Linked DNA regions of Notamacropus eugenii. The protein of the gene in region 1 purifies or fractionates together with the protein of each later gene. This does not show direct contact. Links are inferred from orthologs where the notes say so. Each region holds a gene or a part of one and is shown on either strand. Other genes may lie near its edges. The genes, in order: SINHCAF, ING2, SAP30L and ARID4A.

Evidence for each region.
Region 2: the proteins of SINHCAF (region 1) and ING2 purify together in Homo sapiens (affinity purification with mass spectrometry; 3 studies listed by BioGRID and IntAct, counting the BioPlex papers as one, with this or other methods). This does not show direct contact. The link is inferred for Notamacropus eugenii from reciprocal best matches to the Homo sapiens genes SINHCAF and ING2.
Region 3: the proteins of SINHCAF (region 1) and SAP30L purify together in Homo sapiens (affinity purification with mass spectrometry; 3 studies listed by BioGRID and IntAct, counting the BioPlex papers as one, with this or other methods). This does not show direct contact. The link is inferred for Notamacropus eugenii from reciprocal best matches to the Homo sapiens genes SINHCAF and SAP30L.
Region 4: the proteins of SINHCAF (region 1) and ARID4A purify together in Homo sapiens (affinity purification with mass spectrometry; 3 studies listed by BioGRID and IntAct, counting the BioPlex papers as one, with this or other methods). This does not show direct contact. The link is inferred for Notamacropus eugenii from reciprocal best matches to the Homo sapiens genes SINHCAF and ARID4A.

The regions. Positions count from the first base shown.
Region 1 is NC_092874.1:215,685,658-215,692,954, forward strand, and holds the start of SINHCAF (SIN3-HDAC complex-associated factor), read left to right. Parts: upstream 1-4,242; 5' UTR 4,243-7,297. UniProt on the Homo sapiens protein: Subunit of the Sin3 deacetylase complex (Sin3/HDAC), this subunit is important for the repression of genes encoding components of the TGF-beta signaling pathway.
Region 2 is NC_092878.1:101,933,938-101,941,449, forward strand, and holds the start of ING2 (inhibitor of growth protein 2), read left to right. Parts: upstream 1-4,391; 5' UTR 4,392-4,785; coding exon 4,786-4,960; intron 4,961-7,512. UniProt on the Homo sapiens protein: Seems to be involved in p53/TP53 activation and p53/TP53-dependent apoptotic pathways, probably by enhancing acetylation of p53/TP53. Component of a mSin3A-like corepressor complex, which is probably involved in deacetylation of nucleosomal histones.
Region 3 is NC_092872.1:382,823,305-382,831,105, forward strand, and holds the start of SAP30L (histone deacetylase complex subunit SAP30L), read left to right. Parts: upstream 1-4,714; 5' UTR 4,715-4,797; coding exon 4,798-5,022; intron 5,023-7,801.
Region 4 is NC_092872.1:301,127,120-301,135,184, forward strand, and holds the start of ARID4A (AT-rich interactive domain-containing protein 4A), read left to right. Parts: upstream 1-4,953; 5' UTR 4,954-5,217; intron 5,218-6,331; 5' UTR 6,332-6,371; coding exon 6,372-6,377; intron 6,378-8,065.

The DNA.
Region 1 (7,297 bases):
CTAAATGCAGATTCAAGGCTCTACAAGCTAGCGGGGAAGAAAATAACTACAGTGTACCTAAGGGAAATATCTTCAGAACTTTGGCAAAGGGACTTCAAGGATCTGTGAGTTATCAAACCTTTGCCACTATGCTTTCTAAACTTTAGTCCACATTTTCCTGGGCTCCGTACTTCCTCTGTATTCAATTGTGAGTGTGTCACAGACTTTGGGGGTGGAAGGAGGGGGTGTTTTGTGCTGACTGCTCTTACAATAATAGCTTTGTAAATACCTTTTCTAAAAGCAGGAAGGAAGAAATACTATTACATCATCAGAAATGACATTAGGAATAGATGTGGAGAAACCTGGGAAGGATTGTATGAATTGATGCAGAATGAATTGAGCAGAATTGGAAGAGCAACATATACAGTTGATTATAAAAAACAATGTATACATTGTTTTAAAAAATAATTTAAAAATAAGAAAAATTAAAATTTTTGAAAGATCTAAGAACTCTGATCAACGCAATCATAATTGATTGCAACTCCAGAGGACTGAAAATAAAACATGCTTCTTACTTCTTGACATAAAGGTTAACTGACTATATTTGTACAATTAGATGTAGGTTTTCAGCGTGGCCAATGTGTATATTTGTTTTCTTTGCCTGTTTTGTTTTTTACTTTCAGAGAGGAAGAATTGGGGAGAGACGGTAGATAATGATAGTGGTAGAAGAATAAACACTTCAATGAAGATTTCAAAAAATCATAGAATTTAAGGAGTTAGAAGGAAACAGACAACTGAGACAACTTTAAAACTAACAGGCTGAATTTATTACATATTTTAAAGAAAATAGGGAGCAAGCTGTTCATGGTGGATATTTGTTGTTTCATGTGCAAGCTACTTTTTCTGTTCTTTGTGTTTGACAATATTTATCAAGTTCAGAATGTCAAAAATTTAAAAAGACAGCAGTTCCACCTGGAGATGTTCCCCGAGGACTGGAAGACTGTGATTCATCGACTAGGAACTTCAGTCAACTCCAATGGCTCCTCATCACTTCTAGGACCAAATATAAAATCCTCTGTTTGGCTTTTAAAACCCTTCATAACCTGGCCTCCTCCAACCTTTCTAGTATTCTTATATCTTTTTCCCCAGTGCCCCATGCACTCTTATGACCCAGTGACAGTGACACCCTTGCTGTTCCTCAAACAAGAAGCTTCATCTCCCATCTTGGTGCATTTCTTACTGGCTGTCTACTGTGTCTGGAATTCTCTCCCTCCTTATTTCTATCTCTTGCCCTCCTTAGCTCCCTTCAAGTATCGGATAAAATCTCACCTTCTACAAGAAGCCTTTCTTCCTTTGATGCCAGTGCCTTCCTTCAGTTAATTTTTTTTTCAAGTTTATTCTATGTTTGGCTTGATTGTTTGTATGTTGTCTTTCTGATTAGACTGAGACTAGGAATTGCCTCTTACCTTTCTTCATATCGCTAGCATTTAGTACAGTGCTTGGCATATAGCAGACACTTAATAAATGCTAGTTGACCAATGAATTTAACCTCTCTCAGCCTCAGTTTCCTCATCTGGAAAATGGAAATACTAACACCTGCCTCCCAGAATTGTCGTGCCAATTAAATGAGATAGTATTTGTAAAATGTTTTGCAAATTTTTAAGCACTATATAAATGTTAGTCATTATTATATATTTTTAGGCAGCTAGGCTTGGTGGATAGAGAGCACTGTGCTTGGAATTAGGAACACCAGAGTTCAAATCCTGTCTCAAATGCTCACTAGCTATGAGACCCTAGGCAAGTCATTTAATGTCGATTTGCCTTAATCCACTCGAATATCTTTGCCAAGAAAACTCAGTGGACAGTTCACAGGACCATAAAGAGTCATGCACAGGTGAAGGTACCACTGCTGCAGCAGTGTGGAGCAGGCATTTCCTGCCTGTTTACTCCAAGTGGATCAGGAAGCCCCTCTACTGCCATGGCATTCAAAGACAAGGGCAAGACACTGGTGGAGCCCAGAGTAGTCATTCACTGGAACTAAATCATCCTCACCAGTTTCAATGTGAAGTCACTAGAGAAAGTGTGTGTTGATCTAATTAGAGGAGCCAAAGAAAAGAACATGAAAGTGAAGGGACCTGTTTGAATGCCCATTAAGACACTTGGAATCACAACTGAAAAACCTTGCAGTGAAGGTTCAAAGACTTGGGATCGATTTCAGATAATAATCCACAAACGCCTTATTGATTTAAACAGTCCTGAAATTGTTAAACAGATCATTTCATTGAACCAGGTGAAGTTGAAATGATCATTGGAAATGCCTAATCAATCATCTCTTTTAATAAATTGATTGCAACTATTAAAAAACAGTCAGACAAAATTGAACAACAGTGGGGAAGTTAGGGTATTCAGGCAGTATCAAAATGTGTATTGAATTCCTCAAGTATGAGGGCAGAAATTAGGGAGGAAAAAAAATCACCAAACTCTTAAAGAAAGAGTGTCCTGAAGATTGGTAGATAACGGCTACCAGCACTAGTACTCAAAGGAGTGGTTACTGAGTGCTGATGATAGATTGAATGCTTAGAGGTGGCATTGTGAAGCAAGTAGTATTCCAATTCCTCTACCTCAACCGGTGAGTCAGAGAATGATTGTGGTGGAAAGGATGGCCAGAGTGGCTGTTGTCAGGAAAGAACCAAATCTTAGTAAGAGTCAGAAGATGGAAGGGATAGGAAAAGAAAAGACTTAAGAAAAAAATAAAGTTCATTACTTATGGAGCAAGCATTCCAGAGAGCACAGTGGAAATGATGGGAAGCTTTTAGATATTGGGAGGTGGGAGCAAAGAGGGGTTGTATTGAGGGGATGAGAATAAGGGAGTGGGCAGTCAGGAACAGAGTTTGAATAATAAACAATGATAGTTCATAATCTTTTGGGAATAGAGATGACAGAGCTTATTAATCATTGAGGAAAGAGTTCAGACAAGTTATCAATATCCCTAGGGGTTTGACCTTTAGGAAGCTCAGACAAGGGAACTAGTGGTGGGAAGAATAGAGTGGCATTTTTTCTTCTTCTCTTGCAGGCAGTTGAGGCCAAGAGACTGACTGACTGATCACAATGAAATGGTATTTCTTTCTGTTCCCTACAAGGAAAAAGAGTCCCTTGCAAACATACATATGTAATATACATATATCCATATGTACACATAAGTATGTGTATATATATACACATATATAGTGTGTGTGTATAGAGAAAGAAAGAGGGAACAAACTGTACTAAGACTTTTGGGATACCCAGTATACGTACAAACAACAAATACAAAATATTTTGAGGGTGGAACCTGGAGCTGGAGCTCATGTATCTGTGTTGGTATTTGCAGTGGTATTTGACTTGAACTTTGAAGGGAGCTAGGAGAGATTTTGAGACAGCAGGGTGTCTAAGTAGATAGAATGCTAGGCCTAGAGTCCAGAAGACCTGAGTTCAAATCTAGCCTCAGACACTAGTTGGGTGATCCTCAGCAAATCCCTTAACCTCTGTTTGCTTAATCCCACTGGAGAAGGAAATGGCAAACCACTTCAGTATCTTTGCCAAGAAAACTCCTTATGGGATCACAAAGAGTTGGACAATGACTGAGTGACTGAAGAACAAAAACAGAAGGGATTTTAGGGGGCAGTCGAGTACATTCAAGTGATTGGGACAAGCTGTGCAAAGGCACAGAGAAAGGAGATAGAATATTATTAAGGAACTACAAGAAGAGTAGTTTGATTGTGATGTAGTGGACAAGCTCCTGGAGGAGATGCACTTGGTACTGGCAAAGAGAAGGACTTCATAATAAAGCCACCTTAAGATCAGATGCTGTGTCAGTCTCATTCTTCACAAGAGAACTATGAAGACTCCTAAGGAAAAGCTAAACTGGATCAAAATCAAATGTTCCTAGGGAAAACCTTGTTTGGAGCCATAAACAACAGAGTATTATTATTGAGAATCTTCCAAGATATGAACCTTGGCTAAGTAAGTTCAGAGATGTTTTAAGTGATGCACAGATTGCAAGAGAGCTCACTGTAGGTAAGAAATAGTCCTTCCCAACAACCTGGCAAATTAGCATAATTTAGGGGTATTGGTATGGCTGCCTTGTTCCTATTAGTTGAGAGTCAGTTACAATGGCCAATAAAAATCTAACAATTAGCATTTCTAGACTAAAAAAAATGTTTTTAATGCATTGATATTAGCTACCAGTAGAGTAAATTATTCACTTAGAAACATAAATACTGACAAAAACCTATTAATTATTTATTTTTGTTAAATAAGAATTAGTTCTCTCAGTTCTTTATATTAAAGCCCCTCCAAATCAAAAATAATAGTAAGAAATCATAGATATGAGTTAAAAATTTCTGAAAAGAAGTCAGTAAGTTCAAATGAATGAGAAAGTACTATTCTATTGAATAGAATTACATTAGACACATATTTTAAAGGGCTATATTGGTTATATATATATTATACATTTACAGTATAAAACCATATGAAGATAAGTGAGACAGGTGATCATTTTGCCCAAGTTTCTTATATTTTCACTTTCAGTTTTAGGGGGACTAGCCTCTAAGATTCCTTCCAGTTTTAAATTTTATGATATGGCAAAGGATAATTTAATTTTCATATTCATCAATTTACATATTTAACACAATTTATACCATAACTAATAGCAATCATTTAATCTTCACAAAAAATCAGCAGAGCTGATGTCTCATAGGAAGCAGTGGAGAAGAATGTTACAATAAGACTTTTTAAAAGCGCCTCACTAAAAAAAAATAGTTTTTATTATTATTGTTCTCATCTTACAAAATTTCCAATAAACCTGGTACACACTTTCCCAGAAATATCCATACCAACAGCAGGAAGAGTGAACACAGAGAACAAGGGGAATGTAGGGAGCCTGTGTGGCCAGAGACACACATGGAGGGTATGTAAGTAAGAAACATAGAATCACAAAATTTTAGAGCTGGAAAGAATTTCAGGGGCCATCTAGTACCTGATATACCTGAACAGGAATATTAAGGGTATGATTTAAATCCCTTTTCAACTCTCTTTTGGCTTCATCTGTCCATGAAAAAACTAAGAATGAGCTGTAGAGGAAATTATGAATTTGTCCTCTGGGCTTGGCTTTATCTACATCCAGAGGATGGGGAATCTATATGGAGGAATGGAAGAGGTTTGTGCTTTGAATTCAAGAACCCTAGAGGTATCTCTGGGAAAGTGTGTTTCAGGTTTATTAAAAGTATTCCTTTGCTACTTTCCTTACTATATTATTTTATGAAATGACTTTGCTTAGAATTCTGTCCTTGAATTACTCGAAAAGAAAATAAATTGTTTTCAGGCTTGTGAGTTATGATTTTGAGTATAACATTATCATCCTCAATTTATAATTAGAAACTATGAGGTTTAGCAAAGTTAAGTGATTTTCCCAAGGTCACACAACCAGTAGGCTGTGGAGTCAGGACTAGAGCCAAGGTTATCTTGAATTAGTGCTTCTTTCTCTGCACTCAAACATCATTTTAAATTACATTTTCAAACTAAGAGGATTTTCTATTATTTTTAGACGACAGGCAGACTAGGACAGATTTAGAGTCAGATGTGAGGTTAAAAGACACAGTTTCAAATGTTTCCTCTGCTACTTAGTACCTGAATGATCTTGGACTCCATTTTTAACCTCTATAGGCCTCTCATTCTTAATCTGTAAAATAAGGTTTGGCTAGATCAAAGGTTCTTAACTTTTTTATGTCATGAAACCTTTGACAGTATGATAAAGCCTATGGATTCATTATCAGAATATTTTAAAATTCATAAAATACATAGAATTAAAAATGAAAAAAATTATATTGAAATAGTCAGCAAAAGATTAAAAAAACAAGGTCACAGTTGAAGATTATGAATTCCATCTGCTAGACGACATATTCAAATACATCCTATGGAACAATAATCAATTATATTCCATTATTTTCCTTTTTTTTTAAGCACATAAGTCCATTTATCCAAACCAATGGCATCCTTCCTCTTTTTAATTTTTTAAAAAAGTTTTATACACCTTAGCAGGAATATTATGCTCCAGGTATTTTTCCATGACGACAACGATGATTTTAATAACACCTTAATTCATTCAGCTACATGATCACACTGAAATGGTAAACAATCAAATTTGTCAATAAGTGATTCAATTATGTTGTTTACGCTGATTCATTTAGAAACTCGCAACAATGTTTCTCTCCTTTTCCAGCCTTACTCATCAAAATGAGATAAGGTTGCTGGAAGAGTGATACATGTTAGTTTCCTCATTGTGTAACCGTCCAATTGAAATGAAATTCGATTTTTGCTAACGGTTGGGACGATTAGTTTTGATATCCCACCCTGGAAACTGCTACTAGCCTCTTCCTACTTCAACATACTTCCACATACACACTTTCCAAGTCCCGAGGCTGGTGCTATTTCTAATGAATACAATACGGGTGCACAGTCCGTCTGCAGGCTCTGGCTGCAGGCTTCCAGGCTGCCTGGCTCTCCAAGCCTCTCCAAGTCCCGGGGGAAGCCCAGCCACCCTGTTGCCACAGAAATGGAGAAGCCGTTCAACCAAAGCAAGCAGGAGAAACTGGCCTGAAAACGAAACGAAACGAAACAAAGCAAGGCATGGGAGGGGAGAAGAGGGTGAGTACGAGAAAGCTTTTTAAAATATCCCACTAAAAAGACCAGAAGGACGAAAAATCTGCTCCGCCAAGAAGAAACGGCTGGGAACACGAGCGAAGGGGGGGTCAGCACGTAAAAGTTCGGACCCGCCTCCGCATCACCCTGGACCTCAAGTTCATGGCAGGTGTGGAAGCCCGGCAAAGTGAAGCTTCTGGAAAAATAAAATAAAAATAAATAAAAATAAAAAGGAAGCTTCAGCCGCACGTTTTAAAAAAAGTCTTCTTTTCCTGCATCCATCTCACGAGGAAGACATTCACGCCTGCAGCCCGACTCCAGCCAGCGCGCTGTCCGTCCCCGGCCCGCTCCGCCTCTTCCCCCGTGGGGGCGTTTGTTTACGTGACGTGTCTGCTGTAGTAAGCAGCCCCCGCCCTCCTCTCCGTTTGGTCCTGCCCGCCATGTTTCCCGCGCGGCGCGTCTCCCCTTAAAAGGACAATAGAGGCTACGGGGGCGCGCGGGACCGCTGGGGCTTCCACCCTCCATCCCTCTCGTGTGCGCAAGAGCTCCCATGCAAATGAGTTCGATTCAAGAGAATTCTGTCCCGGGAACAGCGCGTGCGCAAAGGGAAATCGAAATCTACACCTTCCCGGCCCGAGGT
Region 2 (7,512 bases), on another chromosome or scaffold:
TCCCAAACGAATGGCGGTCAGTAAATCACCAAAGCAGGTAGATTCCTGCAGTGGTGGACAGAGCACTGAGATTTAGTCCCCTCGCTACACCTCACCACCTCTGTAACTTTCAGCAAGTTGCTTAGCCATCGGCAACTTCCCACTTTTCAAAGAATACCCCCTTGTTTCCAGATACTGGCACCCCCTAGCTTAGACCTGCATCGCCTCCTGCCAAGACTAGAATAAAAATAGCGCAGTGCAGAGTGCTTCCAATTGGTATCCTTGTCTCCCATCTCTTCCCCCTTCCAACCTATCCTCCCCTCAGCTACCAAAATGATACTCTTCCAGGGTGGATCTGACCATGGCACATGCCCTTCCCCAGGCAGGCAACTCCACGGCATCCTGATTACTACTCTCAAATTTTGAGAGCCTCATCAATCCTTCATCTTGCTGAAGAAATCAAGGGACAACAGCGAGGTGGTTTGTCTAGGGTCACAGAGCTAGTTAGTGGCAAAGACAAGGCTAGAACCCTGGTGGCCTGCACTCATTTTTTCACCATACAACACTACTAATCTATCCGAGCCACCCAGGATATTTTCCAAACCTGCCAAAATGAGATTTCTAAAACCTAGGTCTTATCATATTATTCCCCTAACCAAAACTCTCCAGGGGCTTTCTCTTGCCTGGAGGATCAAATTCAGGATCCCCTTTAGGTCATACACTAGCACTCATCAGAGGTGGGATATGAAGCCAGGTATTCTCTCTAGTCAGTGCTCTTTCCATTGTACCACAATATAAACTCAAGAGGAGATTGCCATGGAAAGCCCTTCCTATTCCGGCTCCAGCCTGTCTTTCCAGACTTTTTACATTACACATTAACACCTCCAAACTGCCTTACACACACATGTCATTCATCTGGCTGACTCCTTGCTGGGTCCTGGGTCAGGCTGTTATTTGAGTTTATTAACATGGTATGAGTTTGTTACTGTTATTTTTAAATTAATAAATTTATATTTTTAAAAAACATTTATGGTAAATATCAATAGCTATAACCTACATAAACAAAAGCCTCATAGCTTGGGGTCCTCAATAATTTTTTAGAGTGTAAAGAAGTCCAGAGACCAAATAGTTCGAGAACTGCTGCTCCAGACATTCTGCCCTGAGGTTCACCTAGACACAATCTAATTTCTGAGCCTGGAGAGCTGTGGCACTAGACTCCCAAAAGACCATAAACTACAGATACCTTGTGTGGTACAAAGTGAAGTTTCCTCAGCAGTCAATGGAGAAAGAAAATCTGCACTTTCTTCCAAGGGCATTGTGAGGTCAGCACTTTGTCAAGTCCCAAGCATCACAAAGAGGTGTGGCGTTATTTAACAATGAGTATGCCCAGTGCCCAGCACAGTGCTTTAAAAGTAACAGGTGTTCTATAAATACTGATTCATCAACTCCATAAGGAAATATACCTAAAAACAATGAGGCACAGAAGAGACAAATCAAAATGTACACACAGGTGGTAACACTCAAACTCACTAGCGATCACAGCTAGTCTGCTGGCTGCTGAGGGGGCCTGGTTGGTTGATTTAACCTAATGACAATTCTTTAAATCTCAAGTTTTCTAACACAGCACCCAGAAATGCAAAGTTTGCACTTAACAAAGCATTTCACCTCCTCAGGGCACCATACTAAAATGTCTTAGCTGGAAGGCCACAACCATTCGACTGTGAGCTCCTTCAAGTCCTCTGGCATCCCTCACGATGAGCATAATGCCTAGCTGGTAGCAGTCACTTAATAAGTGTTTACTGATTGACTCACACCCTCATTTTACACAGAACCTCAGTTATTAAGTAATTAGTCCAATTCAAGTAAACCAACATTTATTAAGCATCTATCATATACCTACCTGTAAGGCACTGTGCCAAATTTAAGAGCAGAAAAAGATCATCTTACATGCTTACTTAAAAATGTGAAAATTCCTCAGCTTAGCACTTACAGAGCTGCCCAACCTGGCTCTGAGGTGCCTTTGAGACATCACACTGCTTTCTTCCATAGACTTTACATCTAGTCCAAAGACCATATTTTCTGGTCTCTGAATTGAACATTTCATCTCCTGCTTCAATCCCCAAAGCACTCTTTGCCTCTCCAGGAATCCTTAACTTCCGTCAAGGTTCTGCTCTCAAGCCACTTTCTAAAATGGGTTGTTCAGTTTTTTTGTGTCACTGTCCCCTCGGGTAGTCTAGGAGAGCCCAAGGACCCTCCAAAAAATGTTTTTAAATGCACAAAAGATACAGGATTACAAAGAAACCAATTATATTGAAATGCAGTTATCAATATTTTTTTAAAAAAAACCTCTGGTTTGTAGGGAAAACCACTTTGATTCCTTTCTCCTAACATTATACTGCATTCACTTAAGCCTCTCCATATTGTTATCTCCCAGCAGAAGTAGTTGACATTCCAGATAGCTTTAAAGTTTAAAAATGCCATACAAATTATTTCATCTGACCTTCCACAACGCTTGTCAGGGAGATACTATTATTATTTCCATTTTACAGATAAGGAAACATAAGTGAATTTGCTGTGTGCGGCATTAAAATGTCTGAGACAGGATTCACCCTAGGTCTTCCAAAAACCAAGTCTGGTGCTCAGTCTACTACAACCAGCTTCCTCCTACAAAGGAAACTCCCTACATGAAGCAACTGTTTGGTGGCTACTCTGCCACCCAAGTGTCTCACCCACGGACGTTCTCGGTAACTGTTCTCTTTACTAGCCACAGAGGAAGGCGAGGCGGCGGGCAGCACAGGGCTCGGGGTTCAGGCCGGCCTCAGAGATCCCTTGGGGGAGCCGGGGCCGGCCTTTCAAGCCCTCTCAGCTTCAGTTTCAGCTGGTTACGAGAAAGGAGGGGAGGGGGAGAGAGAAAAGGAAATGGGGCCCAGCGTTGTAGCGAAGGTGAAAGGGGCTAACGCATGTAGGGCGCTTCATAACCCTTCAAAGCCCAGGCTCCGCTGGGCTGTTATCACTATTATTCTAAATACAAGACAAAGCGGAGTGTGGCAGGCACGAAGCACAGGCGCAGAGATGCTGCGTCTGCACATCACAGGACCCTGCTAACAACCCGGGCGGCCCAAAGGATGCCACCCCACCCGCGGCTGGGCCACGGTTTATTTGGCCTCCACGTTCCGCACACGTCGCATGCTGGACCCCGAGCGGCTCTCTGAACGTCGCGGGGTAGTCTGCCTCGCGGGACCCAACAGAACCCACAAGCGCAGCTTTGAGTTTCCAAGGCAAAGCCCACAGGCAGAAATGTGGCCAACATCTGGGGAAGCCGCGAAGCCGGGTCATCCTGGGCATCGGGGCCCGCCCCCGGGGGAGTCGCCCCTCTCAGCACCGAGCGCCCCCAAAGCTCCTACAAGGGCTTCCTGGGTGCGCGGCTTCTCGGGGACACCTGGGGGCCCCTGGACGCGACAGCAGGAGAATGGGGGATACGGATGGAGAGCTACGCAGACCGCAGGCCCCGGTTCCAGCCGCTGGCATCGCTGGGGGAGGGGCAGGGGGGGGAAAGGGAGGGAGGGAGCCGAGGGCCGGCCTGGGAAAAAGCTCCAGGTTACCATCCCCGTCTAGACCCCGGAGGCCAGGCCGGCGAGCCGGGCCTGGAAGGAGCGGAGGGGCCCACGGGCCCCGACTAGTCCACGCCAGGAGAGACCGCGAGAATACCCCCCCAAAAAAGCCCAGAGAACCCAGGGATGGGGGAGAGGGCGCCTACCTCCCAAGCCAGCAGCGCCCACGTGCTCAAGGAGCCCCGGAGCAGGGAGCCTGTGGGGCGGGGCCTGCGGGGCGGGGCCTGCGGGGCTCGGGGCCGAGCCAAGCCTGGACGCGCGGCATGCCGGGAGCCCCGGGGCCTCGCTGCACTCTGGGAACTGCAGTCTCCTCCGGCCTCGCTCCATATTGAAGGGAAAAAGGGGCCGCCAACTGCTCCATCTTACGCCTGGGGGGAGCCGCTCTGGATCTCCCAGAGGGGAGCTCGTTCGTCAGCGGGGTGCAGCCGGAGTCGGGCCGGACTCCAGACGGTTCGGGCGGAAGGAGGGCAAGGGGCAGCGAGGCGGGACAACAGCACTTCCACCGGCTAGCCGGCTCGCCACCCTAGACTGAGCAAAGGGGCGGGGTGACAGCGCTTCTCCTTTAAGAGGGGGCGGGGCAGAGCCTGCCGTTTGTCCTCTTCCCCTCCTCTTCCTCCTTCCCTCCTACTTTCACCTCCCCCAGCCGCGAGATGACTGACCAATCACCGGGGCGGCCGGAGGAAGGCGGGAGAATGCGAACCCTTCTGTCGGGCGGGAGGGGCGGGCACCGAGCCTTATAAGGGCTGAGCCCTGCGCAAGCGCAGAGGCATCTGCAGTCGGAGGGGAGGGGGGGCCGGAGAGACCCACACACACATACATACACACACTCTCACACACTCGCACCTCGACACTCACACTGGTACTTGGGAAAAGTGGGGGACGAGAAGGGGGACGGTCAGCGGGCGCTCGGCGGCGAAGGGAAGCGGGAGCAGATTGCGGGCGCGAGGGGGACGCGGAGCCCCGGCAGCCGTCCGGGACGCCCGAGCCCCGAGTCCCCGCGGCGGCGGCACGGCCGGGGAGCCCCGCCGCCCGGGCGCTGAGGGGGGCCGCTGATCTCGCTCCGCCCCAGGACGTGTGCCCCCGGCGGGGTATGTGAGGGTCCCCCCCGGGGGAGGCGGTCGGCTGCGCCCCCGCGAGGGGCCCGGGCGGTGCATGTGTGGCCGCTGGATGCGGAGGCGGCGGCGGCGGCGGCAGGATGTTGGGCCAGCAGCAGCAGCAGCAGCTGTGCCCGGCGGCCGGGCTCCTGGCCGGGGAGCGGGGCCGGCTGCTGTCCGGCTACGTGCAGGACTACCTCGAGTGCGTGGAGTCGCTGCCCCTGGACATGCAGCGGAACGTGTCCGTGCTGCGAGAGATCGACACCAAGTACCAGGGTGAGTGGGGCGGCAGGCCGGGCGCGCGGCAGCCGGGCTGCTTCGGGCACGGAATCAGCCATTTTATTAGCGGGGATCGCTCCTCCGGCTCTGCCCCGGGTGGGGAGGAGGAGGAGCTCCGGGGGAGGACAGCTCGGCCCCGCGCCCCCCACCCCTCAAAGGCCGATTCGGTGGAACGTGCCGGGGGAGAGGGCAGCGGGGGCGGGCCCCGGGAAGGCCCCTCCCTCTCCTTCCCCTGCCCCGGTGCGGAGGTCTCCCTGGCCCGGGCCCCCCCCGGGGAGGCGGGCCGGCAGGGCCCGGGGACGGCTGCTCCGCCTCGGCTCCACTCCTTCCGCTAAACAGTTAAAGGAGGGAGGGGCCGGGGGGGGGGGTCGGGTCTCTGCCCTGGAGTGGGCGGTGCCTCCCAGCGTAGCGCCGGGGACTCGAGGGGTGAGTGGGCCGCGGGGAGCCCCGGGGACGCGGGCCGCAGATCTGCCCGACTCCCGCCCCGCGGCTGCCCCGGCTCGGAGGAGACGCTTCCCGCAGCTGGCGCGTGGGGCCCGGGGCGCCTGCGTCACTTCCGGGGTGGGCCGCCCCTCCGGGGAGGGAGGGGGGGCCTGGCTAATGGGGCTCCGGAGCGGGGTCGGGGCCAGTCCGGGGGTTCGGGCCGGAGGCTCCGAGCGCCGCCTCGGCCCCTGCCCCGAAAGGCATTCGTTACTGCCCAGGGCGCTGCCTCGGCGGGGGCGGGGGGAGGGGTGCCGGAGCCCCCTGTCATCGCGGCCCCGCCCCCTCCTGCCCGGTCCGGCCCAGCTGGGGCTGCGCTCCGAGTGGAGCGGGCCGGCCCGGGGGTCAGGACTGGGAGGGTCGGCCGGCCGGGCCTCGGGCCCCCGCAGATCTGGCCTCCCCGGAACGTCGGGAGGTTCCAGCCCTTGTTGGAAGATGCTCCCGCCCCCAGCCCTCCGTTCTCTGCCCGCGGCAGGGATGCCAGCTTCCCGAGGCTGCCTAGGGAGAAACTTTTCCTAGTCCTCGAAGTCCGTCAGACCATGTGAGGGGCAGCAGGAGCCCACCCTACTTGGAGCCGGGGGGATTTGACCCTTTGCGATCTGCCCTCGGCCCCACCGTTCCACCGAAACTGGTCATTTTGAAGTCTATGCCCTTTGAACTTCTGGAAAGCGTTTGACATGAACCCCCTCCGAGGTCTCGCCCACCTGATTTCCATCCTCCTTCAAGGGTCATTGATTGATGTGGCCCGTTCACTTTTATGTAGACGGCTTCCGACCTGGGTTAGAGCATTCGACTTCGGAAGTTTACTGGGGGGGAGGGGGGGCACTGGACAAAATGAGAGTCTTAATGCCCCCGAACTCCCAGCGTTGTCAGGAGGATAAAATCCTGCAGAGATCAACTACGATAATATTGCCTGCCTTTCTCTGTTTTCTGGCTTGAGTTTTTCTTCATTTTCGACAGTTAACATCTAAAACAGGATGTTAGAAGTGCAAAGGGCCTTAAAGAACTTAATTCCTTCATTTTGTAAATGAGGAAACTAAGGCTCGTCCCAGTGGGATGCAGCTAATTCATGGAAGAGCGAGGTCCCTACTAGAGCTGAGGGCTCCTGATCTTCAGGGCTCTCTTTCCACCAAGATTCATTTTCTCCTCTACATGAATGTTCAGTCCATAACTCAGACTCAGCCAAGTTTAGCTTAGCCTCCTACCAAAAAACCCCCAAATGACTCAAATCCAAATCAGTCTTTTTGATTTTCACCTCCACGGTTTCTCTCCATTTTGCCCTTGGTCCCATTGCTACCACCCTAGAGCATGCACTCCGGGGTTGTGCAGTCGCTGTAAGTCCAGCTGGTGGGTCATCAAGTGGATTCAAGGCTTCCCTCCACAGGGAGGCCTTCCATTTCCCAACAAATGAAGTTCTAACTCCCTTACAAGCAGGTATCCTACTTTTATGGCCTTCTCATACTCTGTGCAGTGTAAGGGAAAGGGTACCGAGTTTGATGTCAGAAGACAAACACCAGTTGAATTGGGCAGTGATAGTCACATAACCCTGACCAGGTCAGTTTAACTCAGCGCCAGTTTTCACATATGTAAAATGGCCATAATAATTTTATTGTATGGATATGAAATAGATATCTCAGAGGAAATCTAGTCTAACACCTTCATGTGACAGATTGACAGATGAGAAAACTTAGGCATAGAGAAGATGTGATTTGTCCAAGACCACAGGTTGTAAGCAGAGCTGGGATCCAGATTTAAGTCCCACCTGACAAGGTTATTGTGAGAGCTAGTGGTGCTGTGCAGAGCCAAGCTAGGAGTCAGGAAGACCTGAATTCAAATGTGGCCCCGGACACTTCCTAGCAGTGGGACTTAATCATTTGACCTTTCCTTCAGTTTCCTTGTCTGTAAAGTGGGGATGATTATATATAGCACCTACTTCTCAGGATTGTTGTGAGGATCAAATGAGATGGTTGTAAAGTGCTTAGCACAGTTCCTGGCACATACTAGTTGCTATATAAATGTTAGCTATTATTATCCTTTGTAAAGCCTAAAGTGTGGCAGAAATGCCAGGG
Region 3 (7,801 bases), on another chromosome or scaffold:
GTTCCTGATTTTTTTGAACTTTGTGTCAGTCAACAAGCATTTCTTAAGCACTTATTGCATGGCAGGCACTGTGCTAAGCACTAGACATACAAAGAAAGGCAAAACACATGGTCCCTGCCTTCAAAAGAACTCACATTTTAATAAGAGAAACAATAGGTAAATAACTATGAATATATATTATATACATTATATTAATATATCATTATTATTATACACACGCACACACACAACAGATAGGAGGTAATCTTCAGAGAGAAAACCCTGGCATAAGGAGTGTAGGGAGAGGTAGGGCGGTCCTTGAGGACAGATGGAGTTTCACATGTGAGGAAGAGCAAAAAGGCCAATAATGTTGCCGGAAAAGATAAGAAGACTGGAAAGATAGGAAAAGGCAAAGTTATGAACGAAAATGGAAAACTATACAACACTTCACAAAACAGAAGACCCTGTGGAGTTTGAGGATAATAAAGAACCACAATACATTGTTCCTGAGTGTTTTAAAAAGGAAATGAGAATTATGAGGACAGAAATTTATGGTCTGCAAAGCAAAAATAATTGACGGAATAGAAAAACTTGAACCTGAAACTGCAAGTTGAACAGTACACACAGAGAGAACAGTACACAGAAGATCCAAAAAAACCTTAAAAGAAAATATGCTCACTATCCAAGCAAAACATACTGATCATGATAGAAATGAATTTATTTCCTGCAATAGGAATGAAGAAGACGGGAAACTAAATTTCAAAGAGTATCTCTCATCTACTTAAGGGCAGCCAGGTGGAGCAGTGGATAGAGTACTGGGTTGTATAGTTTGTCCTTCGTTCTTGAAGAGGACCATATCAGGATGAGGATGACATGGCTTACAACTGAATTGGATTTGAGGGAGGGCTGTGCAAAGTCCCCAGCCTCATTTTCTCCTCCAGAGCCATCTGATTCCAGTGGCCAGATAGAGATCAGGGCAAGTGGACATGATCTAGGATGCAGTGGGACGCCTTGGCCTTTTTAAGCTGAGGTCTTTCCGAGTTCTCGCTTTGAATGAGGCAATACACATTTAGTGATTAGGCCTATTTCAGAAGTGAGTCAAAGAAAGACCCGTTAAATTAAAAAAAAAATCAAACTGTGGGGGGAAAGCCCTCAGGGTTGCTGGCCTAAAGAGAAACAATTACTATTTACATTCACTCTAAGCTTTGAGGGGGCAAAAGATAACTATCAAGTGGTGCTTGGGCAGGGATCTAAGATTGGCCAATCAATAAGAACCAGAGCGAAATGGGTTTAAGGCATGGTCTTTAAGAAAAAAATCTAGTCAGTAAACCCTAAGATAACTAGGTGGGTTTCAGCCATCAAAAGACAGGAAGACCTGAGTTCAAATCTAGCCTCTGACACTTACTAGCTGTGTGACCCTGGGCAAGTAATTATCCTGTTTATCTCAGTTTCCTCGTCTCTATAATGAGCTGGAAAAGAAAATAGCAAATCACTCCAATATCTTTGCCAAGAAAACCCCAAATGGGGTCATGAAAAGCTGCATGTAACTGAAACAACACAAAGTTATGAAGTGCTTTAAATGCCAGCAGCTTTTATGTTTGATCTTAGAGGTCACAGAGAGCCACTGGAGTTCAGTAAGTCTATTAAGAATCCTTCTTGACTTCTCTGCAGGCTTTCACACTGTTGATCACTCTCTTCTCTCTAGGTATTCGTGACATGGTTATCTCTTCACCTGTCTGACTTCTCAATGTCCTCTGTCACATACACTAACCATAGGTGTCATTTCCTCCAAAGTTTTGTCCTAGGCCCTCTTCTTTTCTCATCAGCTCCCTTGGATTCAGACACAACCCATACCAAACTTTTAAATTGATTAATTAGGTAAACAACACTTGATCTCAATTTCCTTTTCTCTTGTTTTGTCTTCATTCAGAACACTAACAGGCGTTAACATCTTTTTTTTTTTTATTTTTTAATGTTTAACAATCACTGCCATACAATTGAGATTTTATCCCCCCCCACCTACTCCCCACTACCCCCCTCCCTCCCCACGACTGCATACAATTCTGTATAGATTCTACATATACTTGCCTATTGAGTATATTTTCACTATAGTCACGCTATGTAGTCAGACTAAAATAAATGAAAGAAATCGTATAACAAATCAGAACATGATACACAAACACATACCCATACACAAACATGATCTGCTACATTTTGTGAGTGACTTCCATATTTCTTTCTCTGAGTGTGGAAGGCATTTTGCCTTGAGAACCACCTTTGGGATTTTTTTTTTTTATAAGTAGTTTTTGCGTTATTACCAGGCGTTAACACCTTAAGTCAGACCTCAGAGGTAAACTCTAATTAAGCAAGGTGTGGTCCTTCCCCTCCCTAAACCCTTAGGGGCTTTCCTGGTCTGGACACTGCCACAGTTTTTATGTCCCCCAGGGCAGGATGCTGCAGCAGGTTTCCAGTATGTTTACTGGCACTGACTTCTCCAACAGGACTCTTCTACCCATGTCTGAAATTTGTCTTTTTGTGTGATACTGGGATGAATGAAAGAAGATATTCCTCTCTGGACTTGTCATTATTCCAAATAGCTCTTCATTAATGGAACAAAAGTGGTACAGTTAGGCTCTTCTGTGACCTCACACAGCCATGTTACCCACATGCCATCTCCCAACTGGGTGCCTTTGCATAAACTAGCCCCTGTGCCTGGGATGCCCTCCTTCCTCACCACAGCTTGAGTCCGTAGCTCCCTTCAAAGCTCAACTCAAGTGTACCTCCTAAATGAGGCCTCTCTGGTCTCCTATTTTCCTGACCACCCTTCAATTTCCCCCCAAAATTACTTTTTATGTTTCATATTTACTTACATGTGTACATGTTTTCCTAATAGAATGTAAATCCATTTCTGTCTCTGTATCTCTGGTCTTAGCATAGCACTGATACATAGTAGGCACTTGAATGTTTGATTTAATACCTACTTTACAATGTTGTTAGTATTTTGCAAGCTATAAATACAAGCTATCAATACTCCTAATAATTTTAATGATTCCTCTTTTGAAGTATAGGTATAAAGTATGAGAGACAGAACTCTCTCTGCTTCTTCATGAGACTATCTCCTCTCACTCCTTTACTCTTCTGTGATCCTCAGCTACCAGACACTGTCTTCGTTAACTCATTTCCTTGGTTTTGAATCTTATCTCTAACATTTACTTTAAAAAATGATAGGACTTGAATTCGTCTCATTCTTCCCCCAATACCATCCCCTCATCCAAAACACTTAACTACCAATATGATCTTGGGCAAATCACTTAATCTCCTTGGGCCTCAGTTTTCTCATCTGTTGGCTAGGTGACCTCTGAGGTCCTCTCCTGCTTAAATCTAAGATCCTGGGATCTTCTTTAGCTTTCTGCTTGTAAGAGTGTCTCTGGTCCAACCCTTTCTCGTTTGGAGCTATTACCTTGTCTTTCTCACCTACCCAGTCAGTGCCCCTGTTTCTACCACTTCCCATACATACAATAGTCCTTGTCCCTCCACATGATTCTATTTCCCTATAACCTTTCAACCCTTTTATGTCTCTCCTTTCCCTACAGCACGTGTCTCCCCATATTCGCTTGAGTCTACTGCTCTAACTCTTGTCACTCTGTCCCATCATTACATCTGTCCCACTGTCTATCCATGTTCATCCATCCCCTCCCCCCAGCTCTTCTCTCTCTTCCCATTCCTTCTGTGGACTCATTTGCGCTTTCATCCATCCTTTCTCTTCCTGGGTCCTCATCTCTTCTAGGTCTCTCTATCCCTCTGTCCATCCATTCTGTCCCAGTGTCTGTCTATTCCTCCATCCTTGAATGTGACGTTGTCCATCCTTCCCATCCTTCTAAATTCCCCTAACGTGTCTCCACCCTTTGTTTCCTTCTTTCTGTCCCTTTCCCCCATCTGTCCCTATGGTTGTCCATCTCTCTGCCCCTCATCGTCTGACTGTCCCACTGTCCCTCTCTTCTGTCCCCTCCATGGTGCCACCTGTCCTCTGTCCTTATACTCCCCGTCTACCCCACTTGTCCTTCTATGTCTATGTCTACTCATCCCATCTGTGCCTCTGTCCATCCCCCCTGTCCTTGTGTCCCACTGTCCATCCTACTTGCCCCTCTGCGTTCATCAGTCCACCTCCAGTCGGACCCTTGTCCGTTCCGTTTGTCCGCCCCCATTTGTCCTCCTGTCCATCCCGCCTGTCCCTCTGTGTCCATCCATCTGTGCCTCTGTCCATCCCGCCTGTCCCTGGGACCCCCCACCTCCTCTGGATCTGCCCGTCCCCGCTACCCCGCCTGCCCCTCGGTGGCCCCGTCCTCCCCCGCCCGTCTTGAGGCAGCTGCTGGCCCCGGGCCGCGTCTCCTAGCCCGGCCACCAACTCTCTGGCTTTGCACTTTCTCTACTTCGGACCCGTCCCCGCAGAGTCCAGGAAGGAGCCGGCCTCTCCTGACTGGCGGGCGCGTCGCCCAATGACCAAGGCCGCCGAGGGATCCGGCCACGCCCCGTGTCTTCTAGAGTCCAATGGGAACTCGGGGGCGGGACTTCCGCCGCCGCCGCGGCCGCCGCCTCGGGGAGAGCGGGGCAGCCCAGTGGGCGCCGCGGGGCTCGCGGGGCTCCGGGGGCCGCGGGTTCGAGGCCGAGCCGGGCCCCGGCGCGCTCAGGCAGCGGGAGGCCGGGCCCGCGGGCGGGGCCGAGGGGACCGCCTCGGCAGGGGGGGCCGCGACCGGGCCGGGGTCCCGGGGGCAGGGGCTCGGGCTCCCCGTGAGCGTCCCCGGGGCCGGGGCCGGGGCCATGAACGGCTTTAGCACGGAGGAGGACAGCCGGGAAGGGCCCCCAGCCCCGGCCCCGGCCCCCGCGCCCACCGCCGCGCCCGCGCCCGCCCCCGGCTACGGCCAGAGCTGCTGCCTGATCGAGGACGGGGAGCGCTGCGTCCGGCCTGCCGGCAACGCCTCCTTCAGCAAGAGGATCCAGAAGAGCATCTCGCAGAAGAAACTCCGGCTGGACATCGACAAGAGCGTGAGTGCCCCCGCCCCCGCCGGGGGAGGAAACGGAGGCCCAGAGAGGGCAAGCGACTGGCCCAAGGTCACACAGCCCGCGCGCCCCCGAGCTAGAACCCGGGGCTCCCTCCGAGCCCCGCCTCCCCCCACCCCCACCCCCAGCACCATCCCCGCTCCCAGGTGAGAGGGGGGCGGGAGGGGGTCCGGCGGCGACCCTGAGCTGGAGGGCAGATGGAGCCTGGAGCCCGGACCGGGGCAGCTCTTGGGATCAGCAGAGCCGTTGCTTGGTTTCTTTTGTTGTGTGCGGGGTGAGAGTCCCAGGGTTTGGGAAGCAGCACCGGACGGACCACCGGGGGCTCCCCATTCTCACCCTGCCCTTATGGTCAGCAGGCTCTCGTGAAGCTCATTTGAGGGGGTGACCTTGGGCAAGTCATCCCTCCTCTCCTGCTCCCCGTGTTTAGTCATCAGTAAGCTGGGGGAGGTTGGGACCGATTATTTCTAAGCCCCTCCAGCTGCAGCATATTAGGAGGAAGGTGGTGGGGTCCCTTTTCTTCAGCTTCTAACTTTTCCCTCCTGGGGAACGTACATAAACACACGCCCTGAATTTTTCTTGAAGAATAGTCAAGTTGCTCATGGTTTATCCCCCAAAGGGTAAGGCTGCTTACAGAGGAAGGGTGCTTTCTGCTGTTTGTGGAAGTGGGCTTACAAAGATGAGGCTAGAAATAAGGCAGAGGTCGGGTTGGTTTTTGTTTGTTTTCCTGAGGAAGAGTGGTTTTTACGTTGAGTGGGAAAAGAGAGAGAGAGAGAGAGCCTTCCTGGACAGTTGTTTTTCCACTTTCAGGCCTTAATAGTTCCTTGCTTGCACCTCTCATGTATTTTATTCCATAGACTGAGTCCTTCCTTAACCTTTCTTGTGCATCAGCCCCCTTATAGACCTCTTCCCAGAATGATGATTTTAAGGAAATGCTAAATTGCACATAGAAGTTAGTGAAAATAAAGATTTAATTATTTTCCCATCCAACTTCATAAACCAATCCCATTTTCCGAACCATTATCTTGACTGCTTATGTTCTCTGAGGATAGAGACTGGCCTCCAGTCATCAAGTGTCACCTTTGACCCTGGGCAAGTCCCTTAATCTCTCTGTTCATACAACTCTACAAAATTGAAATTTGCGGAACAATTACCAATCTGCTTTGGTAGAATTGAGGGAGTTTTCTCACCTAGAGTACCCATGCAAATCTGAACCACAAACAAAAAAATCTTCCCCTGCACCCAGTCTTTTCCCCACAAACATACTAGCTAGTTTCGAAAAAACGCCTCACTTATTTGTAGCATTTTCTAGTTTACTAAGCCCCTTTCTGTCCACGGAGGTATGAGGTGGATAATGTGTGCTGATTTTTAACCCCATTTTATACATAAGCAAATTGAAGCCCTGTGAGCAGAAGTGCTGAGCCTGAGGCCACATGTCTCAGAAGAGGTAGAACCAGCACAGAAACCTGGGGCTCTTGATTTCCTCCTTCAAGTGCTCTTTGCATCGCTGTGCTACATCTTGCAACGTTATAAATATTTGTTAATTGAATGAATGGGAATTTAAATTTGATTACAACACGCTTAGGGCCTCCTACCTGATTGTAGGAAACTTGTCTGCAGGAGGTTCTAGTTTACAATTCTAGAGATGTTCTTAATTGGTTGATAATGAGTGCTTTTTAGAGTGTCATCTGTTGTCAAGTTTAGTGGCAGTTTCACTATTAAGGAGTCAGATTTGTTAAGGAGACTAGACAGGGTCTATTTAAAATTCAAGAAGTCTTAAGTGAGATGAATGAGTTCTTCCCACAGGTAGTAAGAGCCAAGAATCGAACCCAGGCCCTCTCACTGCAAGTCCAGTCCTCATTCCACCATTCAGGGGTGGGGAACCTGCATCCTCGAGGCTCCATGTGGTCTTCTGGGTCCTCAAGTGTGTCCTTTTGACTGAATCACGGACAGGGTTGGATGTGTAGCCTCGAGGCTGCAGGTTCCCCATCCCTGCTTTATATCAAACTGCCTCTCATGTAGAACTAAAGGATAAGCCGAAAAAAGAAAAGTTCTGCATTATCAGGTAGGTTTGGGCTTTTATAAATCCTTTCTAAAACTGTTTAGCAATTGCCGGAAGAGTGCCCTTTTGAAATCACAACTTATATTTACTACAGTTTATAGGTTCATTGACATCTGGATGCTTTTACAGCTGGATTGAGATTACAACTCTCCTCGTTAATTTAAACTGTTTTTGGTGGTTTTTCCATACATCTTAGGGATAGGAGGAAGAGAATGATGAATTGCAATAGCATTGCTAAAAGTAATAACTCCTCACTTCTCAAATGGTACTTTTTAGGAATAGATTCACTAGCAATTCTCTTTTCAAGGTGGTGTCATTTCAGAAAGATTCCATTTTCCTCTCAAGAATGAACAGGACTTCAGTTAAAAGTAACAGCTGTCTTGCTAAAAATCAGATTTGCAAACAGGGGGGAAAATGGAGGAAGGGGATACTCTTTCCAAATTTCAATCACCTGAATTACAGAAAATCTGTTTGTTCTTGTTAATGGTTAAAAGTATATGCTGACTCAGTATTTATAGAATCATAGAATGTCAGAGTAAGAAAAACCTTAGAATATAGAATGCATTTTTAGGACTGAAAGAGAGCTTAGAAACCATCTAGTTCAGCACCCTTATTTTTCACAGATAATGAAACTGAGGCCTGTAGAGGATGTGACTTGCCCAAGATCATGTTGATTAAAAAAAAAAAAGCCAGAAACTCCTTAAT
Region 4 (8,065 bases), on another chromosome or scaffold:
TGCCAAATCCTTTTCCTCCCAATTTCTTCTGACTCCTCTAATGTTATGTGATTATAAAATGTGACAATTAATCACTACCTTGCAATACTGCTTCCATTGTTTTCCTAAATAAATTTTTTTCCTGTTAAATAACAGGAATTTTAAAGCACATTTATGTCCCATCTTTCCAGCTGTATCACAGGCTCTTTAAGGACAGAAACTTTCTTTGTATTATCTAGAATACCTGGGCTAAAGCTTTGCATATTAAAACATCAAAGTATTTTAAATGCTCAAAAATTATCAATCTGCTAAAAATATTATCTACTCACTCCATAATCTGAAACATATTTTTATTTAGGCTTGTTCATAAAGGAAAACTAAGATTTATGAATTCCAGTGATTATGCAATTCAAAAGGGAAAAGTACAGCAATACGGGAGCTTGTACCTGGTTAGAAATTAACCTATTATTTAATTTTCTTTAGAGATAAATGATTCATTGGGAAATTTTTTGGCTGCACTACAGCTGTCAAATCTACTTCTCAACATCATGGAAAAGCTTACTGAAACCATTATACATTTCAGAGAGTACCATTTCTTACCTAACTTTGTTATATGTAGTAGCATTGCCATACAATATTAAAAACTGAAACTTATTTTTTTTGTATCATTCTAAAAATCACCTACCAGAAACATTCCAAGAAACAGTAAGAAAACAGGGTTAAAAGCCTTTGATGACTTTTTCCCTACAAAATATCAGGATAAATCTGAAAGACAAAGAATTAAAAATAGTGATGCTGTCCAGTCTATCTCATAGTGAAGCATAAAATCATTTTACAAGAATCAACTTATTCATAATACTTAGTCTACCTCTCTTAATAGTGTGTGGAGGTTGTGGGGTCAGAAGTCAGCTCAAATACTACCCCTGATGCTTACCATCCGCATGACCTTGCACAAGTCACAGCCTTCCTTAGTCTTCACCTTTAAAATAAGGGGACTGATTCAGATGCCCTCTGATATATTGTCCATTCCTAACCCCATGAGTCTATGAATAACATCATATACTATATCATCAGAATGAGGATGTTTGTATCCTTATACAAATTAAAAATCTGCTTCATCAAGACTCTTCAGGAACTTTAAAAAAAATTATATATAAAAAGGCACTTAAGATTAATCAGGAAATCACTATGATATTCTTCAAAAGATTCTCTAACCCTACATCCTACTAGAAATCAGAATCACTGAGAACTAAACCTGATATTTACACATGAAAAACAGTAATTCTCAAGGTCTTTACATTTGTGAGTGCTCAGGATTAAACAAAAGAGAATGAAACTGATGTATAACATAAGCAGAACCTAATAATTATTCATGTTTTCTCAAAAAAAGATTTTCAAAATTTATTTATACAAATAAAAAGAAAAATTTAACTTCACTGATCAATGCTATTTTTGTTTTTCCCAAATAGCCCCCCAAATGTCACTTCACAAGTGCTCAAAGCTTGCACTGTGTACTCTGAAGAGAGAAGAAATAAAGACAACAAAAGTGGTTGAGGCTATTGGTAGGTGAAAAAAGGAAACCATGTACCACCAGTAAATCCTAATCCTAATTAAACAAGAATATGTCAAGTATCAATAGATTCCCCTAATAGAGGGAAAAGAAATTCTCATTTTACTAAAAAAATTCACAAAAGATTGAAGTCTACGATCTTCTGTCTGCGGACATATCTAATTTATTATATCCCATGACATGCTATATAGCTATCTATGCAGAACCTAATTCCTATGTATGGAACACTTTAAGAATTACAAAATACTTTCCTCACAAAAACACCATGAGTCATAATTATGCCCATTTTACTTATCAAGAAACAGAGCTTCAGAGAGATTAAATAATTTATTTTCCCAACATCTAGCAGTGTCTGACAACTTGGTAGGCACTTAAGTGCTTGAGTAGGATCAAACAGCTAGAAAGTATCAAAGATAACACTAGAATTCAGTCATCTCTAAGATCACTACACCATGGAAATGACAACAATATTTTATACCACTATTTAAAAAAAAACGGATTTAAGACTTCTTTGCTAAATTCTAATGCTAAAAATTTCAATACCACTTATGACATCACAACTGATTTTAGTGGGCAAGACTACAACTTAATAAAAGTATAACTGACGTAGAAGGGTTTCCTGATGGTAAGTACTACATAATACAAGCAATGTGACTGACAGGAATATTTTTAAAATATATGTTTTTGGAACCACAGGCAAAAATGGAGCTTCAGTGTGTTACAATATAAATTTCTGCTTCATGAGAAAAGTTAAAAGACATTTATGTGATCAAATCTTATAATCAACTTAGTACCCAGCACACTGTACATAGGGAGCACAGTTAACAGCTGTTAAATGAATGAACATGAAGGGAAGATAGGGGAGATAGAAGGTTGCAGTTGTAGTTCCCTAATCATGTTTTCCTCAAGCTAATATTAATAGTTTGCTAATTCTCAACATTCGCTGGCTGGGACACAGGGTTCCAGGAGGGAAGGTACAACAAAAAGAAAGGATATCAAAAGCTGAGAAGATTATGGATATTAATCATTTGCATTAATAATTTACAATGCAAAGAAGCTATGCAAAGAAAACAGCTACAAATAGTTGAAAAGAAATAAAACATTTCTGCTCCTGTGATTACAATTTTGCTTTCACTGGAAAAAATTCCTTAGAAGACATATTAAAAAGGATTTCATTTATACTAAAAGATCACATACTATAAAACTCATGTAAAGTCCAAAATGAAAGCTGAACAGTAAAGAGAATTATCATTTCCCCAAAGCACCAAGACTCAAAATCTGTTGTTTGTTGCAGCCTGCCTGTTCTTCCTTCAAATATCTCTCTCCCAGATCCCCTTGTCATTACTTGATCCATGTCTTATGTCTAGAGTACTGCAATAGTTTCCTAATTTGTCATACAGTTGCCAGACTCCAACACCTCTTAAGCATCCTTCTAGATGTCAATGGATTAATCTTTCCTGAAGTGCCATCTTGGGAATGGTACTTTAAAACACTTTTAACACTTTGTTTAAAGTTTTGAACTGAAATTCAAAGGTTCTCTATTATCTGGTTTCTATCCTACCTTTCCAGTTTCACTTCCACTAAACAAAGTCTTAGTCAAACCAGCCTACTTGAAGCTCATTTTAGGCTTATTTTTGCTATACCTTCTGCATCCAATTAATTCTCTATACCCCAAAACAACCTCATCTTTGCCTATTAAATAAAAGCACAACACCCATCCTTCCCCTTCTTTCAACAATACATCACAATCTACCTCAAAAGACTTCTGACTAGGCATGAAAATTCATTTCCTAGGTGTTTTCGCCACCTCCTCCCCTCATTCTCAATATTTTCAGAATTATATAAGGACTCACCTCCGAAACAACGTTGAATGACTTTCTCAAATTCACCCAATCTACAGATCTTTAAGAGCCAAACTGCAAAATAATTGAGAGAAATTTTTTAAAAGCACTTATATCAAAGCACTTACACCTCACTAAATCTGACTCTAAAATAGTTTAAAGTCAACTAGAGATGTTGTGAGAATAAACAATAATGTGAATTCCTTAGAACCCAAAGCTTTTCTAATTTTAGTTAATACAGTTTAGCATATGCCAGTCTCTTTACATTAAAAAGCTACTCAATTAAGGAACAACACACACTTTACCTAGTTCAAACAAGTTTTTTCTAAATAAAATTTAAAATCCAGTTGCTGTGCTCCTCTCCAACCCAATCTCTGACTCATCATTACTTAAGATTTAAAAGTGATTTAAAATACTTTCATTTAAAAGGTCCATTACATAACTGCCGAATCAATCAATGGTCACCGTACCTCTTGGTGAATGATTACTGGAGGACTGTTGGACATACTACATTCCTGTCAAATACAATCTCCACTTAAAAAGAGAATTCTAGTTCGACACAGCAAGACCTTAGGCGAACAACTATCAGGGCAAACTGGGAAGGAGAACTCCTGAATCTTGAGAACCAGGGATTTCCCAGCTTCGAAGCTAGGGTGGAAACGCCCTTTTCTTAGGCAGGGGGCACCTGGCAAGAATAACTCCTTTCAAGTTTAGAGAAGTCAAACCTCGGCCCCTCTGCACGAGAATCAGGGAAGGCAAAGCACAGAGATGGGTGAGGGGTGTGGAGCCCCAGGGTCGAGCACACACCTTCTTTACCCATATAGGAGAAAAAGGGGAAGATCCAGCTCTACGAAGAGGTAGCAAACTCCACCCCCTCTTCTCCGGCGGGAGAGAAGGCCTCAATACTCCCCCCACCCCCATTCGTCCCCCCAGTGAGGAACTTACTCTGCCGCGGCCGCCGCGAGGCCCCCTCACTTCCGGTCTTAGTGCCGCTATTGCTGCGCCATCCCCTCAACCCCCCCCCCACACACACCCTCCCCCGTCAGTTAACCGCAGCCTTCAGTTGACCTTTGTGGATGGATCCCAAATTTATTCAGTCACTCACTGTGCTCTCACCCGGGATGGAAGGTGAAGGTCTAGTCCATGAGAACGAGTCAACCGGGTAAAGTCTCAGCTCCCCTCCTCGACAAGCTTAAAATGGGAAAGAGCCACAGCCACTGCTGCCGAGACAAAATGGCGCCGAGAACAGGATCTAGCGCAGGCGCCTTGTATAGTCCCTGCCCCGCCCCCGGTGCAAGCCCCTCTCCGCAGCTATGAGTTCCGTTTCCATGGGACACCCACTGCCAATCCCCGCTCTGGGTCGCTCTTCCTGACCCCCGAGTTCACCAATCAGTGATCACTCAAGCACATCCGGAGTCATCATCACCAATCATTTGTCAGGATCTACTGACTCAATTCCCAACTCCTCCAATAATGTTTGACTCTTCGGCTAACCAATCATAAGTACGATATTTCCTACCTGCTGCTTTTCTTACCAATCGGTGCACTCAAGGCGTTATATCCAATCGGGGCGGCGGGTAGCGAGCTCCAATGAGGAGCGCGGAAGGGTGCTCCATCGTCATGAGGGGCCAATAGGAGTTCGTGTAGGAGCGAGTCTGCTCAACAGCTTGTTATTTGGTGGATTGTGGCAGTAAATCGGGGCGAGCGGGGGACTGGGCGCAGGAACTGCCGCGGCGGCCAGGAGTGGTGCTGCCCGGACGGGGGCCCGCTAGGGTCAGTGTGCCTGGGGGGATCGAGAGCTGACAGCGCGTACTTAAGCCGCAGTTGGTAGGTAGGGAGAAGAGGAGCGGGGGCTATTGAATGGGCGAAGCGGCAGTAGCAGCTGGTGCTGCTGCCCGGGAGTCCCGGTGCACTTAGAGGTTTGGAGGTGGGGGTGGGGGCGGCAGAGGAGAAGCCTCAGCAGGGGGAACCGCTGCTGCCGATTTTCTTTTTTTCCTCCCTCCTCCCACCCCTTCTCCGGTTCCCGGAGTAAAATGGCTGTGGGGGTGGCCGCCCCGCTAAGTTTGCTCCGGCGGAGTGAGGAGCGGGGCTGCTCCCGGGAGAGGGGTCCCAACTCTGCGGCGCTTCTCCCTCGAGTGGGTTTGCGAGCTCGACCAGAGGGGTCGGGGTGGGGGCTTGGAGGACCGGCGCCTTTCGGAGCGCCACAAAAAAGTTGAGGCGGGTGGAGGGAGGAGGCAGTGGCTGCCACTGTGCGGTTCTCCTCCCCTCCCACACCCTGTCCCGGCTGCCTCCCTTCCTCTTCTCCACCCCCTCACTCCCCCACCCCCTCCTCCTCCTCCTCCTCCTCCTCCTCCTCTTTTCCCCTTTTCTCTTTTTCTCGGGCGGCGGGCGGCTGTTGCCCCTCTGGGACCCGGAGCCTGTTCTCCTGCCTGACATGGTGCAGAGCTGGTGGAGGCAGAGCAATGGCGCCGTGACACACCGCCGCCGCTGCCGCCGCCACCGCGGGCACCGGGGGGAGGGGAGAGAGGGGGGAAGCGGCCGAGAAGCGGGCGGGGGGGGGGGGGGGCAGAGGCGGGAGAGGGCGAGCGGAGGGAGACACGGACCGCCCCGGAGACTGCCCCCCGTAGGAGCCCGAGAAACAGAAACTGCCGCCCTCCGCCAGCACCGGCGGCACTCAGAGGAAGCCCCGACTTCACTTTGCCCGGGTGGAAGTGGGCAGAGGGGCGGAGGCAGGGAAGTCCTCCGAGGGGCGGCATGAAAGCTGGTTTGGGGGCTCCTCCCGCCCCCCCTCTTCCTTGGGCCTCTGCTTTTCCTCCCGGACCTGGGACAGCGAGGGCTGTGCCCCTCCCCGCTGGGGCTTGTTTACTCGGACGGCTTCTCGGGCTCTTGTTGGTTAACTGCACTTCTCTCTTCCTCCCTCACGCATCCTGCCCTGCCGAAGACTTCTCTTTGAGCTGGAACCTCTTAGATCGTCCCCCAAAATGAAGGTAAACGGGATAAGCGTGGCCCTCCCCGCTGGAGAGGGACCGGCCTGCCCCTTTTGGGTCATCCCTGCTCCTCCCCTGCTCTTGAGCTTTCGCTTTTGGGACTTTTGTTCTGAGAATTTTAAAAATATGCATTTATATACATATGTATACATATATTTATGTATATTTAAACTTTATTCCTTTGTCAGTCATTGAGGAGTGTGGGGGGAAATAGCATCTATTGAATGTGTCGGAAGCGATCGATGTGTATGAAGTGCCGTCCTCCTCGACCTCTTCTAAGGCCCTAGAATTCTAACTCTATCGAGGGGATCCGACTCTGAGCTGTTGTTCTTTGGGCGAATATTTTTCTTTAAACACTAATGACAGCGGCCTTTGCAAAACAATAGCTTTTGTCCTATCTTTGAGTTTCGGGGGATTTTGTTTGTGCGTTTCCCCAAAGAGCAAAGAATGTATGTGGAGTTGGAATGGAATGGAGGGAGCCTAGTGGAGAGAGATTTCAATTTTTCTAGGATTTTAGAAATAACATGCATTACACAAATCCATGAGGTTGAATTAAAACAATGCTTAATGCTCAGTCCATATGATAAATGTTATTAAACTCTTTTTAATGGAAAAGATTATTCCAAAATAATTCCAACAAGGAACATTTCAAAGGATGATAGGAAAGAAATGACATTTTATAATGATAGTTTAAAATAGTCCTGATTATACTTCTTTGCCACAAGAAGTTCTAAAATTTTATTAATTTATATGCTTTTAAAATTAGTTAATTTATCAAACTCATGATTGATTTATTGCCTTATTCATTTATTAAACCTCACTTTCCTAAATTCTTAATGCTTGCTGTGATTTTTATCAGGAAGAAAGGTGACAGCAAGCTTTGAAAAATGCTCCAAATATTTCAGAGTTTAAAACTTTAGGAAGGTAAATATAATTTAATAAATGAATAAAGTGACACTTTGAAAGTTTGAATGTTGTTTAAAACAACTAGTTGGAAAAATAAATTATTTTCCTACTTACAGTATACTACAACTGTTTTTAAATGTATGTGCCTATAAATAGCTCTGTGAATAAGTGCTAAGCTTCATATAAGATTTGTGTATAAAAGAGACAACAAAAGCATGTTCACACGAGGATTAGAGTTTATGGTAAAATGAAGTATCTATTTTTTTTTTTTGCCACTTCAGCATGTTGAAATTAGATATTTCCAAAGGAAGCTTCTTTTTTTACACCAGCAATATTAATGCAAAAAATCTTAGTGCTTCAAATGTAAGAGCATTAGTTTTATTTCTCTGTTATCAGCTGTTGTGACTTCCATTTCAACCTCAGTCTTCTGACACAGTACTGATTAAATAATGTTTTCAATTTTAAAATAGGTTGAATGGATACTTATTTATTTGTAGGTGTTACATTGTGTCTATTGTTGTTACAATGAATATTTGGTTAAAGCTCTCTACTGACATGTTTATCGTGGTAATTTAATAGTTTCGACTTAGAGGTAGGGTATCAAAGAAGATTTAAGTGTTTTGAAGCTTTAAAACAATAAAAAGTTATATAGACCATTTCAGGTCTTTAACAATATAACCCTAAGATTAATGTACTATATTCTCCTGAATTCTTAAACTTTTGGCATATGGTAAAGGTTTTTTGACTCTATATCTGGAGAAAAGAAATGGCAGTGCACTCCC